Arabidopsis thaliana: one gene and its partners. The protein of the gene in region 1 interacts with the protein of each later gene in a pairwise test. Each region holds a gene or a part of one and is shown in the gene's direction. Other genes may lie near its edges. The genes, in order: BUD2, NIA2, TH9 and TRX1.

Region 1 (3,967 bases):
AAGGGAGAAAGCCGATGAACAAAAACAAAACCCATTTTTACAAGATACAAGTTATGGTCACCAACAAGTAGACAAAAAGAGAACAAGTAGAGAAAAAATGCTGCGTCTAATTATGTCTTTTGAAAATGAAATTAGATATTAACATATACGTGCATATATACGAAGAAAATAATTTAAAGTTTTATGTGCATTAGCGATTGTTTGACACACAAGCCACTAAAATTGATGATTCTTGCAGACACTTGTTCCATTGCCCTTTCAAGATCTTTTGTGTCTTGTCCACGATATAGTATGTGTGTGTGTGGCTAATCAGATATATTATTTAATATGGGCTACGTAAAGATGTGTCATGTGTACTTTGTTTTGGCATGATGAGTGATACATAACGGGTGATTGGAACCAATGTACGAGAGCCTCGTAACCGAATTGTAAACACGGTTTCTTTTTTCAGTTTTTTTTTTTTTTTTTTTGCTTAATTAATCGGTAAGTTAAGGTCTATCGGTACTATTTGTTTATGTGTTGTATTTCGTGTGCCAAAACATTTTTGAACCTTCCATTATAAGCTTTGTAACACAAATATTGGCATCCATGGAATAACAAAGAATATGGTATTACATTGAGATATATATTGACAAGTTCATTCGATCAACCAAATCGTTTCTTCTACTTGTGAAAGTAGATTTAACTCTTTGAAATTCTTTCTTCAAGAATTTCGTATCTGTCAATTTGTTTGTTCTTGTACACAAGCTTTTAGTTAATGTTTTACATTTTAAATAAACTCCATGGAATAATATATCCTGAAGTCCTAGTTGATAGCATAGCCTAAACAAGCCTTTCCACTTCTAGTGTCGATCCTGCGATAGTTTTTGTACGAGAGCCTAAAGATAGTCAAAAGATATACATTTCACATAACTATTAAACCAATTATCTTAATTATATGCTTTATCAGCTTCAAAACCAACTACTACAATATATAAGGAAAAATACCCCTCCCCTTGAAATTTTTGGATGGCATAAACACCACTAAAAAAGGTAATGCCATCAATTAGTGTCACCAGTCTTTTAGGAATATGATTGGTAGCTTTTGAAGCGAGACATTTTATGGCTAACATTTGGAATGACTAATGTCTTTGAGATTATTATATGTATATAATTTTACTGATAACATAATTATATGGAATCCAAAATTCACATTAACTAATCCATATTATGGTGAGACAATTTGGAACGAAAAGTTCGTACCGAACCGTTTTATATAATTTATGTAAACAATATTCTTCAAAATTAGCTATTTTGAGTTTAAGATTTAAAAGAAAATCTTATGAAAAAAACATATCTTAATTCAGTAAGTAGAATGATCCGAAATAAATACTTTGCACAATTTCATAGTTCTTAAAATAAATAATAGTCAAAGGAGTTAAACCATGTTTTATTATTAAGGCGTCAATCCTACATTTTTTGTTGTTCATGATTTTGCATTTCTGCGATATTATCAAATCGAACTAACATATCACCTGCAAGAAAGATTTGATTATAAAAAGTAATAGAAAAAAACATCCAAATTTGCATGCGCTTAACCACCCATGAAACTCCTTCTCATTACAGAACAACACAAGAATACAGAACAGAATCAGACGCACACTAACTAGATCTCTCACATACACAGATACATACACGCATACATACAAAACAAAACACAAACTCTCATCATCTTTCTCGTTCATTATGCCTACAATCATGATTCTTGGTCTCTTAACCCGCATGCTCCTTCTTCTCTATCCTCCAAACCCTCTCCTATAAATACCACTTCTCTCCCACTAATCACCACTACCTCTCTCTTCTCTCTCTACTCACACACAAACACATTTCCTTTGCCGTGTTCTTCTTGCAACTTCCTCTGTTCTGTTTCATAACATCTTCTTCTGATCTTTGCAATGGCAGTGTCTGGGTTCGAGGGTTTCGAGAAAAGACTCGAACTTCGGTTCTTCGACGATGACAAACCAATCACCAAAAACCCTATGGGACTCCGTCTAATAGACTTCGAATCTTTAGACCAAGTCTTAAACGAAGTGCAGTGCACAGTGGTCTCCGCCGTAGCGAATCGTAGCTTCGACGCTTACGTTCTCTCAGAGTCAAGCCTCTTTGTATACCCAACCAAAATCATCATCAAAACATGTGGAACCACGCAACTCCTCAAATCAATCCGACCGTTGATCCATCTCGCACGTAACCTCGGCCTCACGTTACGCGCGTGTCGCTACTCGCGTGGCAGCTTCATCTTCCCTAAAGCTCAGCCTTTCCCTTACACAAGCTTCAAAGACGAAGTCATCGTCGTCGAAGAAAGCCTCCCAAAATCTCTCTGTTACCGCAAAGCCTCTGTTATGACGCCTTCTAATAACCCATCACGTGCTTGGCACGTGTTCACCGCAAGCGCTGACGTGGAATCCGACGAACATGTCGTCGTAGTCGAAGTATGTATGACGGAGCTGGACCGAGTCAACGCTCGAAGCTTCTTTAAACGGAAAGGTGACGAGAAAAACAACAGCGATTCCGCCGGGAAAGAGATGACGCGGCTCAGTGGTATCGATAACATAAACGCAAACGCTTATATATGCGATTTCGCGTTTGATCCTTGCGGTTACTCGATGAACGGCGTCGACGGTGACCGTTACTCAACTATCCACGTAACGCCTGAAGACGGTTTTAGCTACGCGAGCTTCGAGTGTGGTTTGTCTCTCTACGACAACGGTCACGAAGATATCTCTGAGGTGTTAAGCCGGGCCATTGATGTTTTCCGTCCAAGTGACGTCTCGATCGCCACCACTTACGGCGGCGAAGATTACAACCACGAGGTGACTAAGCGCGTGGAGCGTGTGTTAGCTAAGAAGCTTGATCTTAAGTGTCGGAGCCGTCTTATGGATGAGTTTCCAGGCTCCGGAACCGTCGTTTATCAGTCCTTCACGCCTCGTCGGAAATAGGCTTCGCCGGAGGAGTAAAAAAGGAGAAAATGTTTTAATTAGGTTTCAATTAGCTTAAAGGAGAAAAAAGAAACAGGTAATGACGTGGAGGGAAATGATTGGTTGACTTGGGTTTAAGGAGGATATTAAGTGGGAACATATGATCATGCACCCCACTTTGCACTTGTGGCAATGTCACGCCTAAGCATTTTTGAGGTTCAGTGTTGTAGAATTTTAGTGGGGGATGGTAAAAATGGTTTGGTCTGTTTTTTTTTTGTCTTTCTTTTATTTCTTCTTATGTTTGTTTTTTATATTTTCGATTTAAATTATCTTAAATCTATATATCAGACTGTTGATATACGGTTTTAATCGTTCTTACTTTATATGGTTACAAATTCATTCACCTTAAAAGTAAACTAATTATGATGTGAAAAATATTGTAAAACAATTTCAAAAGATCCTTAGCTACTGTTCGATATGTTTTGTCGTTACCAAACATATCTCAAGTCAGAATTAGCACCACAATAATATTGCCGGTCGACGACACTTGTATTTCAAGTTTAAAATCCGTTAAAATTATAGTTAGCAAACCTTCCATCATCTTTTACCTTTACACATTTGTAGTATTTAGTGTCGTATCATTTTGTTGCTAGTCTCCATCACATCTACTACTACTACTACTACACTGAACAAGATCAAGCATAGAACAATCAAGAATGAAATAAAATTTTAAAATTATGCATAACTTGAAACTGTGACCCTAAAAACTTGGATAATATTAAGGACTTGGCGGCTCATGCTCTTTTTTTAGGCAAATGCTTTTTTTTCTCCATGTGTGTGTTTGACATTTAACCATAAGAAGTCAAAGAATGAATAAATTTTAAAATCTATTACTACATACTAAAAAAATTAAAATCCAATGAATCTAAAACTCATAAGGCAAAAAAAGTAAGGTTACACTTTTTGTGGCTGACCAATTAAAAGTATTAATATGTGATTTACTTTTAATA
Region 2 (5,881 bases), on another chromosome or scaffold:
TATAAAAATCATATATATTGAAACTGCTATATGCAAGTAGTCTTATTTAAGAAATTGTGCTATGAAATAGAAATTGTTGTATGGATAGTAATAGTCTTCGCAACAAATTTAGTTTTCATTGTTTGACACTTTAACATGAAAGGTTAGCATAAAAAAAAATAAAGTGGAAACTTGAAATCAACTAAATTTTCATGTTCCTTTTTAAAGTATAAAACTTAAACATAATATAAATAGTACCATATGATTTAAACTTAAACTGTCTTTTTTACTTTTTTTTCTTTCACAGATTTAATCTTCATCTCACATCTCAAAAGATAAATTTTTATTCTGCAGTAAAAAATTCATTAGCAAACTCTCTTTAATTAAATATCAAAATATGTTTTTTAATGTAAAAATATTAATTAATATCTTAAACTTTGTCTTTTTAGTGAAATATCTTATATATTATAACAGAAGAAGTATATATATATATATATATATAAAAAAAATAAAGATGTATATTGGTTACCCAAAATTAGAAGTTCACAAGAAAATCAATATTCAATATTTACTCAATGAAATTTTCAACAAAAAAAAGTCTTAAATAAAGAAAGATTTACCCACTGAATCTGCTGAACCCGTGGCTCCGTCGGTTTTGATTAGTCACCGCCATTCTTTCCGAAGAAAAACAATAATAACAGTAATACTAATATATAGGTGGCTGTAATGTTGCATCTTGATCAAAAAGAGAAATAATTTTGTAGTTATTTTAAGGAAAAAGATGAACGTGATCATTTTCCATCATTCAGTTTTTTTTTTTTTTTCATTTTCCAACATTCATACATAGGTATTTTAAACTTTTAGATGATTCAAGGAACTATTTTAGGTTATAATAATGTATACAAAAAATTAGATTACTCAATAATTAATATCTCATCAATATTGCTGAAAATCACATCTGTTAATTTTATCAAAAAAAAATATTACTAAAAAACAGTTTAATAAGAAAATATTACTGAAAATAACGTTTAATAAGAAAATAAATATTGTATGATTATTAGATTTTTTCTGATAATATGTTTAATTGATTTATCAAATCTCAAGAATAAAAGGAACGTTGTTCCTATGTTTAACTGAAGGATATAAGAACATTGATAAACTTCTAAACTAGAACCAGGGGTAAAAGGATTATCAAATCTCAATAATAAAAGGAACGTTCTTCCTATGTTAACACATTGATAATTCTTTAATTTACTGGTAAAAAATATACGGTTTACAAAATATATATATATATATATATATATATATATATATATATATATATATATACGGTTTTAATAGTTACCGATCACAAAAACTATTAAAATTAATAGTATGAAAATATTATCACCACGATTTTTGTATTACTAATTTTATTGCTCTTAATTATTTTGTCATCTTTTATCGTTATTTTTCCATTAAAAATAAATACGGCTTTGTGTCACGAATAAGAAAACATATTTTTTAGTAAAACAAATTCGACTAAAATAAAAAGGAAAATGTTTTGATCACATTTTTATATTGTATTACAGGAAATAACCAATGATAGATAATAATATATTATTCAATTGTCATCATTTCTTAGTTGACAAAAAAAAATCTATACATGTTTCCGAGACGTTAAAAGTATTTACAAAACTACTCCAACAATTCACATTTGTTTTATAACAAATAGGGACAAAAATGATCATTTTAAGCTTATTGAATAACTATGATCGTTTATTTTTGTCAAACAAATGGATGGTTTATTTAATTAAGTCAAGTCATAAGAAAAAATTAATAGTAAGTGTGTAAGAAAAAAATTAAAAAGTCACAAATGGTCCCATACGTGTGATTCGGCACGATACTTCCTAAAAGCATACCACTAGGCTCTCTCCTATATAACTTCATCTCCACCAACGATGCATTTTCGTCCTCAGATCTCATCTCACTCACAAGAGAGAGATAGAGAGAGAAAAAGGCTCTGCTTTCTACATTATTTACGATTATACACTTTCCAACATGGCGGCCTCTGTAGATAATCGCCAATACGCTCGTCTCGAGCCAGGTTTGAACGGCGTGGTTCGTTCTTACAAACCTCCCGTTCCAGGCCGGTCCGATTCCCCTAAGGCGCACCAGAACCAAACCACCAACCAAACCGTGTTCTTGAAACCAGCCAAGGTTCATGACGATGACGAAGACGTGTCGAGCGAAGACGAGAACGAGACACACAACAGCAACGCCGTGTACTACAAGGAGATGATAAGAAAATCCAACGCCGAGCTTGAACCGTCCGTTTTGGACCCGAGGGACGAATACACGGCTGATAGCTGGATCGAGCGTAACCCTTCCATGGTACGTCTCACAGGGAAACATCCCTTCAACTCCGAGGCGCCTCTTAACCGTTTAATGCACCACGGGTTTATCACCCCTGTCCCGTTGCACTACGTTCGTAACCACGGCCACGTCCCTAAAGCCCAATGGGCCGAATGGACGGTCGAGGTGACCGGATTCGTCAAACGGCCCATGAAATTCACCATGGACCAGCTCGTCTCCGAGTTTGCTTACCGCGAGTTCGCCGCGACGCTAGTCTGCGCGGGGAACCGCCGTAAGGAACAGAACATGGTGAAGAAGTCAAAGGGATTCAACTGGGGATCCGCCGGAGTTTCCACCTCCGTGTGGCGTGGTGTCCCTCTCTGCGACGTACTGCGTCGCTGCGGGATCTTTAGCCGAAAAGGCGGCGCTCTCAACGTCTGCTTCGAAGGGTCGGAGGATCTTCCGGGCGGTGCCGGAACTGCTGGTTCCAAATACGGAACGAGCATCAAGAAGGAATATGCCATGGATCCATCAAGAGACATCATTTTGGCTTATATGCAAAACGGAGAGTATCTAACACCAGACCACGGTTTTCCGGTTCGGATCATCATCCCCGGTTTCATTGGTGGCCGGATGGTTAAATGGTTGAAACGAATCATTGTCACAACTAAAGAATCCGACAATTTCTACCATTTCAAGGACAACAGAGTTTTACCTTCTTTGGTAGACGCCGAACTCGCCGACGAAGAAGGTACATAAAATCTTTTTGCTTCAATAAATCTCATTAAGATGAACTAATTGATATGTTTAAAAAGTCTCCGAACCTATAGGAGAAAAACAAAAACAGAAATCATATTAAAAAATGAAAAACTAATGTTGGTGGATGATGTCAGCTTCTGTGACTTACATAAATTCAAATTCAATGGTTTTGTTTTAGGTTGGTGGTATAAGCCAGAGTACATAATCAACGAGCTAAACATAAACTCCGTGATTACGACGCCATGTCACGAGGAGATTCTTCCCATCAACGCTTTCACAACCCAAAGACCTTATACTTTAAAGGGTTACGCATATTCCGGTACTTGTCCTTTTAACATTTTAATTTAATAAATACGTTATTTCATAGGATGATTTAATTTAATAGTAACAATAATCTTTATACAAAAAAAAACAGGAGGTGGAAAAAAAGTGACCCGTGTGGAGGTCACGGTAGATGGTGGAGAGACATGGAACGTATGTGCACTTGACCATCAAGAGAAGCCAAACAAGTATGGGAAGTTCTGGTGTTGGTGTTTTTGGTCACTTGAGGTTGAGGTTTTGGACTTGCTTAGTGCCAAAGAGATTGCTGTTCGTGCATGGGACGAGACTCTCAACACGCAGCCCGAGAAAATGATATGGAATCTCATGGGGATGATGAATAACTGCTGGTTTAGAGTGAAGACTAACGTGTGCAAGCCACACAAGGGAGAGATTGGGATTGTGTTCGAGCATCCAACGCTTCCTGGTAATGAATCTGGTGGATGGATGGCGAAGGAACGTCACCTCGAAAAATCGGCTGACGCGCCTCCTAGTCTAAAGAAGTCTGTCTCGACGCCGTTTATGAACACAACTGCGAAGATGTACTCGATGTCCGAGGTCAAGAAGCATAATTCGGCTGACTCTTGCTGGATCATTGTCCATGGACATATCTATGATTGTACACGATTCCTTATGGATCACCCGGGTGGTTCGGATTCAATCTTGATCAATGCTGGTACGGATTGTACGGAGGAGTTTGAAGCCATTCACTCGGATAAAGCCAAGAAGATGCTTGAGGATTACCGTATCGGTGAGCTCATCACCACTGGTTATTCCTCTGACTCTTCCTCGCCTAACAACTCGGTTCACGGTTCATCCGCCGTGTTCTCGCTGTTGGCTCCCATTGGAGAGGCGACTCCGGTTAGGAACCTCGCTTTGGTTAATCCCCGGGCTAAAGTCCCGGTTCAACTCGTCGAAAAGACTTCCATTTCTCATGATGTTCGTAAATTCCGGTTTGCTTTACCGGTTGAGGATATGGTTCTAGGCTTACCGGTTGGTAAGCACATTTTCCTTTGCGCCACCATCAATGACAAGCTCTGCCTCAGAGCTTACACACCAAGCAGCACCGTTGATGTGGTTGGCTACTTCGAGCTCGTGGTCAAGATTTACTTTGGCGGTGTCCACCCAAGATTCCCTAACGGCGGGCTCATGTCTCAGTACCTAGACTCTTTGCCTATAGGGTCAACTTTGGAGATTAAAGGACCATTGGGTCACGTTGAGTATCTCGGCAAGGGTAGTTTCACGGTTCACGGTAAACCAAAGTTTGCTGATAAATTGGCAATGTTGGCAGGTGGAACCGGAATAACTCCGGTTTACCAAATTATCCAAGCCATTCTCAAGGATCCAGAGGATGAGACTGAAATGTACGTCATTTATGCTAACCGGACCGAGGAAGATATTCTCCTAAGGGAGGAACTGGATGGTTGGGCAGAGCAATACCCGGACCGGTTAAAGGTTTGGTACGTAGTGGAATCAGCTAAGGAAGGTTGGGCATACAGTACCGGGTTTATTTCCGAGGCGATTATGCGAGAACATATCCCTGATGGATTAGATGGCTCAGCCCTTGCCATGGCTTGCGGACCACCACCGATGATTCAGTTTGCGGTTCAGCCGAATTTGGAGAAGATGCAATATAACATCAAGGAGGATTTCTTGATATTCTAGTCTAAAGCCAAGATATTTCAAAGTCAAAACGTTAAGTCGTCAAAAAGCCTAGTGTTATGATAGATTCTAAATAAGTATTGAGGGATTTGTTTGTATATAATGTTGGTTCTTTAAAGTCTTGGATTTGGAAATATAATGTGTTCGTTGTATTCACGATCGATATTTTTTTTCACAATAATATACAAAAAGTAATTTCAGAAATTTTTGTGGTTAGGTTATCGTACATTGAATTTTCTGCGTTTACTTCACATTATGAATATCAATTTGAATATGTTCATTTTTTCATATGTCTTTGTCGTTAAAAAATAAAATAAAAATTCTACAGCTATTAGACACCAATAATCATTTTCAAAGAGAATAAAGCCAAAGCGAAGTAGTTTCCTGTTGTGCAAGTTGAAACCAAACTCGTCCATTAGTTCCTATATTAATCTTCACCACATATATGATTTAAGATTAGGGGGAGTGAATTTACTTTTTTCATTTGTTTTATTAACTTGTAATTTAGAAGACTCTTCCTTTTTGGGTGATTAGTTTAACAATATATCAATCGTTTGAGAATCTTTAGAGTTTTCAGTTAATATTCAATTTGTTCTTATTAAAATTGTACATGTTTATAAAGTATGTTTCTAGCATCCAAACTCTTCTCCATTACAGGATTAGAATTTTAATACAGCATCACAAGTTATGTTCTAAGTTATCCAAAAGGAACATCATATCTATATAAAAATAGTGTGCTATTAAACCGATAGAAAATGTTACGATATATATATATATATATATCTAAATAAAATCATATATCAACGATTCATAACTTCAAGAACTTAAA
Region 3 (3,945 bases), on another chromosome or scaffold:
GAAGTAGAGGGTTTTAGGCTTTTCACGAATCTCTTCTCTCTTTTGTAGTGGCCTTGAAAAAAAGATTCAATCTCCTGTTGTGGTATGTTTCTTTTGATCCATCTTTCCTTTATGTTTTCTGTTTCAACTACTTCTTAGGGTTTATCATCACTTACGTTACGTATGTATTGTTTTATTCGTCTTCCTCTATGATATGTTATGTTCTTAGTTGAATTCCTTAATACTCATTGTGTGTTGCTTATCTCGTCCGCAGGTTTTCGAGTCTAAAAGCATGGCTTCTAAGAGGATTTCAAGGGAACTGAGGGATATGCAGAGACATCCTCCAGCAAACTGTAGCGCAGGTAATCTCCCTTTTCTTGGCTGATTTTGACTGATAGATTCACACTAAAAACACTTTTAGGGTTTGATATATGTCACACTTTTATTTCATCAATCCACATTATATGTTTCTGAGTTTTTTTTGGTAACGCTATGATTTGTTAGACTCTCTTTGGTTCTGTTATATATATGTACTCTGCATGAACCTTTTTTTTTTTTTTTTTTGTATTCGAGAAAACTCGTTAAACCTTTGCCTGGTACGATTAAGAATATCCAGAGGTTTAGCTTGCTTTTATTTCAAGTGTCTCCTTTTGTACTTCTTATTTATTCTGCCAATTTGTCTCTGTTCTATAAGAAGTATCACTTGATCATGCAGGTTTTATTGTCTTTTTCGATGAATAAATGGGTCTGATTGCAACGTCTTTCTTATAGGTCCTGTGGCTGAGGAGGACATATTCCATTGGCAAGCAACTATCATGGGACCGCATGACAGTCCGTATTCCGGAGGCGTATTTACGGTTTCTATTGATTTCTCTTCGGATTATCCTTTCAAGCCACCAAAGGTGTTGTGTTTTTTCAACACTAATTTAATCATCTGATGTGTAATGAAAATCTATGATCATCAGGCTTATTAGCGAGTGTACGATTTTGCAGGTGAATTTCAAGACTAAGGTGTACCACCCAAACATCGACAGCAAAGGAAGCATTTGCCTTGACATATTGAAAGAGCAATGGAGTCCTGCTCCTACCACATCCAAGGTTTGAGTTTTGTCTCTCTACTACTATTTTTTACCAAAGTCATGTTCTGTAAAAAAAAAACTAGTATATTGGTGAACTTTGTGCGAGTGATATTGATGGTGTGGAATTATATAGGTTTTGTTGTCGATTTGCTCGCTGCTGACTGACCCGAACCCAAATGATCCTCTTGTGCCGGAGATAGCTCATCTCTACAAGGTAGATAAATCAAAATACGAGTCAACTGCACAAAAATGGACACAGAAGTACGCGATGGGATGATAAGACAAAGGTGGTCTAGACAAGGAAAGGATGTCTTACTTGGCAATGGAAATAGAAAACTGAAGAAAAAACATTTACCTTTTCTGTTTTTTGGTTAGTTTTAGCAATGGCTGCTATGATGTGACGATCATAATCGAAAGACTTTTTTAGCTGCTCTTTTTTACTTGTCTTCAGTGCTCTGATCATATTCTTATTTTTCCAATTCCATTTTAATTGGAAACTGCTATTGCAACAACCTCGTAAATTTTTTTCTTTTTTAAACTATAGAATCGTTTTAAGTCTTTACCTAAATCAATAATCTTTAATCCTCTTTAGTATTTTTTTTTTGAGCATCAACTAAACACTATGGCAAAGTCTTCAACCGTATATAATAAAGTCAATTCTTTAATAAACAATGGTACTGCAGAATTTGAGTTGCCGACAGAAAAAAAAAAGTACCGCAAATCTAAAGAATCTGTTGAAAGTACGGTTAATAATAAACAAAACAGATTTTTTATTATTTACACGAATTGATAGCTAATAAAGAGTGAGAAAAAAAACAAAAAAAAAGTGGAATGGACAGAGAGGAGGAGGGTAGAGTGGTAAATTTAGTAAGAAGGGGAAATTGGGTCTGACGCGGTCATAATGGGAGGGAGCTTCTTCTCCAATCAACGATTCTTCTAATTTGGTCTCTTCCCTCAAACACGACGACGGCGTTTTCTTTCATTTCTTCTCTCGACAATCCCTAACATCACCAGAAGAACACAAACACAATTCTTTTTAGGTACAACACAAATTCTCTTCTTCCTTCTTCGCTCTAAAATTTTCAACACATATTTTTTATGATGCTTTTAAGCGTCTGATCGTATCCGATCTCTCTTAAAGGTCCGTTTTTGCCTTTTCAGATTCTCTTAATCCGTTTCTTCTTCTCAATTTTCGTTTGTTCGTTATTAATCCTTTTCGCAATTCGATTAGCTGAAAGTTTCCCCCTTTTTTCTCCAGGGAATTGCAAAAAAAAAATCGATTTTCTATTTTCAGGCAAATTCGAATTTCCAGGACATTCAAATGGGTAGCTGCGTCTCTAAGGTATTGAAAGAAACGAAACCCTTTTGTTTGGTTTTTGGTTTTTGTCGGATTCTGTATTTGTTGGTTATGCGATGATAATGTAAAAAAATCCCTTCTTGTTTTGCTACATAGGGTAAAGGAGACGATGATTCCGTCCATAACGTCGAGTTTTCCGGTGGCAATGTTCATCTGATTACAACAAAAGAGAGTTGGGATGACAAATTAGCTGAAGCTGATCGTGATGGCAAAATCGTAATTTTTCCCTTTTTGATATTTCTCTTCTCTCATGTAGTGTTGTGTTTGTTTCTCAATCTCATGCTAATATCTTCTCTTCTCTTGAAACAGGTGGTTGCAAACTTCAGTGCGACATGGTGTGGTCCGTGTAAAATTGTGGCACCATTTTTCATCGAGCTCTCAGAGAAACATTCTTCTCTTATGTTCCTTCTTGTAGATGTTGATGAACTCAGCGTAAGTAACTCATACTCTGTATACCCATACATAGTTTCCCTTGTCTCTCTTTCAAAATCTTAAAATATGTTTGTGTGACTTTGTGCAGGATTTTAGCTCATCATGGGACATTAAGGCGACACCAACCTTCTTCTTCCTAAAGAATGGACAACAAATAGGCAAGCTTGTTGGAGCAAACAAACCGGAGCTACAGAAGAAGGTTACTTCTATCATTGATTCTGTGCCTGAAAGTCCTCAACGGCCTTGACTCTTGACTCTCGCAGCCTTGTGTTCTGAGGTCTGTTCTTGTGTCTTCTTCTTGACGGTGATCAATTGTTGTAATATGCAAAAAAAAAGGTGTGAAAGGTCACCAAAAACACTTGAGTTAGATCATCCTGTTTGATATAATAATATGCATCTTTTTCATTCAAATTACTCATTATATTATTGAATCCTCGCAATCTAAGTGTGCAAAGCAATAAGGCTCTCTCTAATTTCATTTCTTCTTTATTATCATTCTTTCACTAATGAGGAAACAATCATCCAATGCCTTTGTTTCTTGATGACATTTTGAATTTCGTTGCCACCATTGATTTCTCCTTTGTATACTTTCACAAATCTCTCAAGCAGAGATCGGGGTGAGGAGCCTGAAGTGGCCTTATGGCTAGGGATAGGGCTTGGACCGTTCCTAAACCAGATAGAACCTTAACATTACCATGACTTGATGCTAAAATATAGACCAAAAGTAAAACATACATTTGCCATCGTTAAGTTAGTCTTCTTGTTATAGTTAGTTTTTTATTATTCTGTAATTAGTCTGAGTGGATGCTAAAATATTACAAATAATTCTTCTTCAAAACAAAACCGCGAGTGAGTGTATCGATCCTAACATCTAGAGAGAGCTTTCGGCAATGGATAAGCTGCCAAGAAGAAATGATATTTAGGTAAGTTTGGCGTTTATTCAAGTCTTCACAATTAAAGATTCAGAAGAACCACTTTGACTTTGACTATGACTTGAACTTTACTCAGAGTGAAACTCGAATAATAAAACGAATGGGTCAACGGTCAATATTAGCTGCTCTGGTTCAATAATTTACAATTTGTTCTCAATCAAAACAA
Region 4 (3,696 bases), on another chromosome or scaffold:
GAGCATCAAAATAGCCAAATCGCGTTTCCTCATCTTTGCCCTAACCGCAAGCAGATGTATCAATGGCAGATTTGCATCAGTAGGTAGCAGCAATCTCCTTACCAGAGCAGAGAGAACGATGAAGAATAGTCGACAACTTCAAAACTACGCCGTATAGATATATCAGACGTTTAATAGAATAACATCCTGACGTTTTTGTTCTCTTTGACCGAACGTTATGTCGTTTATACTACTATCCTTGAAACGGTGAAGATATCCGAGAGAGGATTAGTTTAAACAAGGAGCCAAACACGTTCTTTAGTGTCATCGTTCGTAAAATTGGGGCCGAGAGAGAAACAAAAATTTCCCAGGAAAAAGGCAGTGATTGAAGATTGTATTAGATCCGATTAATCGTCTTCCTGGTCGCTTGAACTGGTATGTATGCTTTGATCTATTCTTTATGAAAAAGTTTCGGAATCAATGTCTATGAAGATGCTTTGATGTTGACTCGTTGCTAGTTGGATTATGTATCTTTAATGGCGTTTTCTGGATCCCTCGTTCGCCATGTTCGTATGGATTCATCGTTTAGTGTTTAAGACTCGCGATTCGTAGAACTACGAGAATTGTTTACTTAGCTTTTCTATGTAGTGGTCGTAGTGTTTTAGCACAATGTGTTGATTGAATATCAATTAGACGACTCTTGTTTCAAGTTTATCCAGTAATCAATGAATTGGTAGTAGCTTGGTATATGCAAAAATCCAAAGCAGCACAGGGCTAGAAGGAGCTGCTTATCGCTTCTGGAAGGCTCAGTCCCAACTCGGACTTCCATGATGGGATGATATGCATTTATGTTTTGGGTTCGATGTAAATGATATGCATCAGCTATTCGAGTATTAAGAACAACTTTTACATATCAAATCCAAGTGCTTTATTGAATCTTACTTACATGGGGATCACTGGACGTGTTGTTTTTTGCTTACAGAGAATCAAATAATTGAGCTCAACTGGATTTGGATATGGGAGAGACAGCAACAGATTCAGAACATCGCATGATGATCGGATTATCGGATCCTATGAAAATTGATCCCAAAAGAGACCGGTTTCCATGCTGCATTGTTTGGACACCTCTTCCCTTCATTTCATGGCTGGTTCCCTTCATCGGCCACGTCGGTATCTGCAGAGAAGACGGTGTCATCCTCGACTTTGCAGGACCTAATTTTGTCTGTGTTGATAATTTTGCATTTGGAGCTGTTTCTCGATATATTCAAATCAACAAAGAAATGGTAACGTTTGCAAGATGCCGGCTTTCATTTTCAACCTTGATACAAAGTAACAATTTATTCATATTGGCCTTGGATTTGAATCAGGAGTCATCTCGTTCTTCCAGTTCTGGTATGTTCAATGGTGAGAGGAGATATGAGCAAGAAGAAGATAGTCATGAGAAAGAGCCAACATGGGATGATGCACTGAGAAAAAGCACGCAAGAGTACCAACATCACTCATATAACATACTCACATGCAACTGTCATTCCTTTGTAGCCAACAACCTGAACCGTCTATCTATAAAGTCAGGCGGATGGAACGTGGTGAATCTCGCGACACTAGTGCTTTTCAAGGGACGTTGGGTGAACAAAACGGCTATAGTAAAGTCCTTGTTGCCTCCACTCATAGTCTACACTATAGGAATCTTACTCGGTGGTTGGACTTTCATTGCCTCCTGCTCGATTCTAGTGGTTTTGCTTACCGGGTGGTTCATCATTGGAACGTATTGTTTCAAGAAACTGATTCAGCTGTAGATTTGAATCATAATGTACAAATGATGTCTACAAAATGTTTTTTACTTTTTACGATGGATATTTACAACTTTGCTTTGTGTGTGGTTAATTTGTTACAAGTAAAACTTTGAGGAGTAAAAGTGTGAATATTTATGATTTGGGTAAAGAAGGAAAGTAGCAATTGGTGGGTGTAATTATGGGAAACAAAATCACGCGTCGAATAAAGTAGAAGAGAAAAACTATTGACGGGCAAAATTGGGATTGGTAGGTGACGCGCATGCTAAGTAATTGAAAAAAAAAAAACACAAGAGGAGAAGAAACAGAACAGAGAAGAAAAAGAGAGAAGATGGCTTCGGAAGAAGGACAAGTGATCGCCTGCCACACCGTTGAGACATGGAACGAGCAGCTTCAGAAGGCTAATGAATCCAAAACTCTTGTAATCTTCTTCTCCCAAATTTCTTGATTTCATTTTGTTTTTGATGAGATATGGATTTGTTATTATTCTTGATTTGGTTTGTTTTGGGTTGCGTTTTTAAATAGAGTCTTTGATCTCTCATACTTAAGCAATGTAATGATATGATTCTTTTTTGTATGAATTCATGTTTGAATTTTATGACAATTCTTGGATCTGCATTACCATAGATTAGATCCTAGGATTGGTAGGAGATCATAATGACTTATATTACGAGTCATGTTGATAATTCTATGAAACTAAGGGATCCCTAGAAAAATGTTTACGCTGAAGATAGATGTAATGTTCACAATTCTTACGATATGATATGTTTTTAGTGTAAATGGTTTTTCAATGAAAATGATTCATGATTGGTTATATTGTTGAAGGTGGTGGTTGATTTCACGGCTTCTTGGTGTGGACCATGTCGTTTCATCGCTCCATTCTTTGCTGATTTGGCTAAGAAACTTCCTAACGTGCTTTTCCTCAAGGTTGATACTGATGAATTGAAGGTACATTCACCAACATTTTTCCCTTCTTCTTGAGAGATATTGTTTTCTTCGATCACAATCTCTTTTATGGTTTTGTTGGAACAGTCGGTGGCAAGTGATTGGGCGATACAGGCGATGCCAACCTTCATGTTTTTGAAGGAAGGGAAGATTTTGGACAAAGTTGTTGGAGCCAAGAAAGATGAGCTTCAGTCTACCATTGCCAAACACTTGGCTTAAGCTTTCCACTCTTATATATCTCTTAAGATGTTGGATTAATTGTTCTATTACTCTTGACATGTTATAACTTGTTCCCCTTTGTTATGGTTCCGGTCTATAATCTCATCTGACTATTTGAAGCTGAAAATTGCTTTGCTTATCCAGTAAATCAATTACTTTGTGACTTCAAAGTATATTTGAAAACTAATTTCTACATTATGTCCTCAAAAAAAAAAAAAATATTATGCAATGGACGTGAATAAAGAGAGAGCATTTTCTTAAAGGTGATGCTTATTCAGAAGGTCATTTGTGTTCTGAAAACGGTTCGAATATTGGACAAGTGAAGCTAGGAATTGATCATTGGCAATGTTTCGATACGGATGGCAAATATGTACAAATGAAGGATTCTGTTTCTTTCTATGTAGTATTAAATTGCAAAAGGATTTACACAAATAATAAGCTATTAAAAACAAAATCCATTTGCTACTAAGAAATATTATCAGAACGTTTAATGGAAACTCAATCTGATAAAAAAAAAATCATTTCGTCTAAGAAAAGAGAGAAATCCCTCCACGAAATCATTTTGAAAGATGCTACCGAAGCAATTGTTTATCCATAGATATCTGGTAAATAATGCACCTTAACACAAAAATAATGCAAAGCTTTGAAACATTCCATTATGTTATGGTTTTTATAATTAAGAACCCTAGCATCAATGAATACCATCGGATTCATACAAAAAACACCAAAAAGAAACACTGAGAATATCTCTTCTGCTTATAAA

The links.
Region 2: the proteins of BUD2 (region 1) and NIA2 interact in binary tests that used the Arabidopsis thaliana proteins (3 or more experiments, as listed by UniProt).
Region 3: the proteins of BUD2 (region 1) and TH9 interact in binary tests that used the Arabidopsis thaliana proteins (3 or more experiments, as listed by UniProt).
Region 4: the proteins of BUD2 (region 1) and TRX1 interact in binary tests that used the Arabidopsis thaliana proteins (3 or more experiments, as listed by UniProt).

The regions. Positions count from the first base shown.
Region 1 is NC_003076.8:6,311,183-6,315,149, reverse strand, and holds BUD2 (Adenosylmethionine decarboxylase family protein), read left to right. Parts: upstream 1-1,777; 5' UTR 1,778-1,934; coding exon 1,935-2,978; 3' UTR 2,979-3,425; downstream 3,426-3,967. Other genes in the region: AT5G18933 (uncharacterized protein), read right to left, coding at 806-878, 988-1,023, 1,454-1,514, 1,703-1,763. UniProt on the Arabidopsis thaliana protein: Essential for biosynthesis of the polyamines spermidine and spermine. Essential for polyamine homeostasis, and normal plant embryogenesis, growth and development.
Region 2 is NC_003070.9:14,156,598-14,162,478, forward strand, and holds NIA2 (nitrate reductase 2), read left to right. Parts: upstream 1-1,854; 5' UTR 1,855-2,019; coding exon 2,020-3,064; intron 3,065-3,250; coding exon 3,251-3,391; intron 3,392-3,487; coding exon 3,488-5,055; 3' UTR 5,056-5,341; downstream 5,342-5,881. UniProt on the Arabidopsis thaliana protein: Nitrate reductase is a key enzyme involved in the first step of nitrate assimilation in plants, fungi and bacteria.
Region 3 is NC_003074.8:2,643,211-2,647,155, forward strand, and holds TH9 (thioredoxin H-type 9), read left to right. Parts: upstream 1-1,867; 5' UTR 1,868-2,199; exon of another isoform or gene 2,200-2,316; 5' UTR 2,317-2,379; coding exon 2,380-2,400; intron 2,401-2,511; coding exon 2,512-2,631; intron 2,632-2,724; coding exon 2,725-2,847; intron 2,848-2,935; coding exon 2,936-3,094; 3' UTR 3,095-3,394; downstream 3,395-3,945. Other genes in the region: UBC12 (ubiquitin-conjugating enzyme 12), read left to right, coding at 272-341, 751-881, 973-1,077, 1,192-1,335. UniProt on the Arabidopsis thaliana protein: Probable thiol-disulfide oxidoreductase that may play a role in intercellular communication due to its ability to move from cell to cell.
Region 4 is NC_003074.8:18,950,360-18,954,055, reverse strand, and holds TRX1 (thioredoxin H-type 1), read left to right. Parts: upstream 1-1,946; 5' UTR 1,947-2,100; coding exon 2,101-2,190; intron 2,191-2,594; coding exon 2,595-2,717; intron 2,718-2,801; coding exon 2,802-2,933; 3' UTR 2,934-3,138; downstream 3,139-3,696. Other genes in the region: AT3G51050 (FG-GAP repeat-containing protein), read right to left, coding at 1-33; RTH (RTE1-homolog), read left to right, coding at 996-1,262, 1,347-1,775. UniProt on the Arabidopsis thaliana protein: Thiol-disulfide oxidoreductase involved in the redox regulation of a number of cytosolic enzymes. Activates the cytosolic malate dehydrogenase (MDH) probably by reducing an interchain disulfide bond of the inactive MDH homodimer.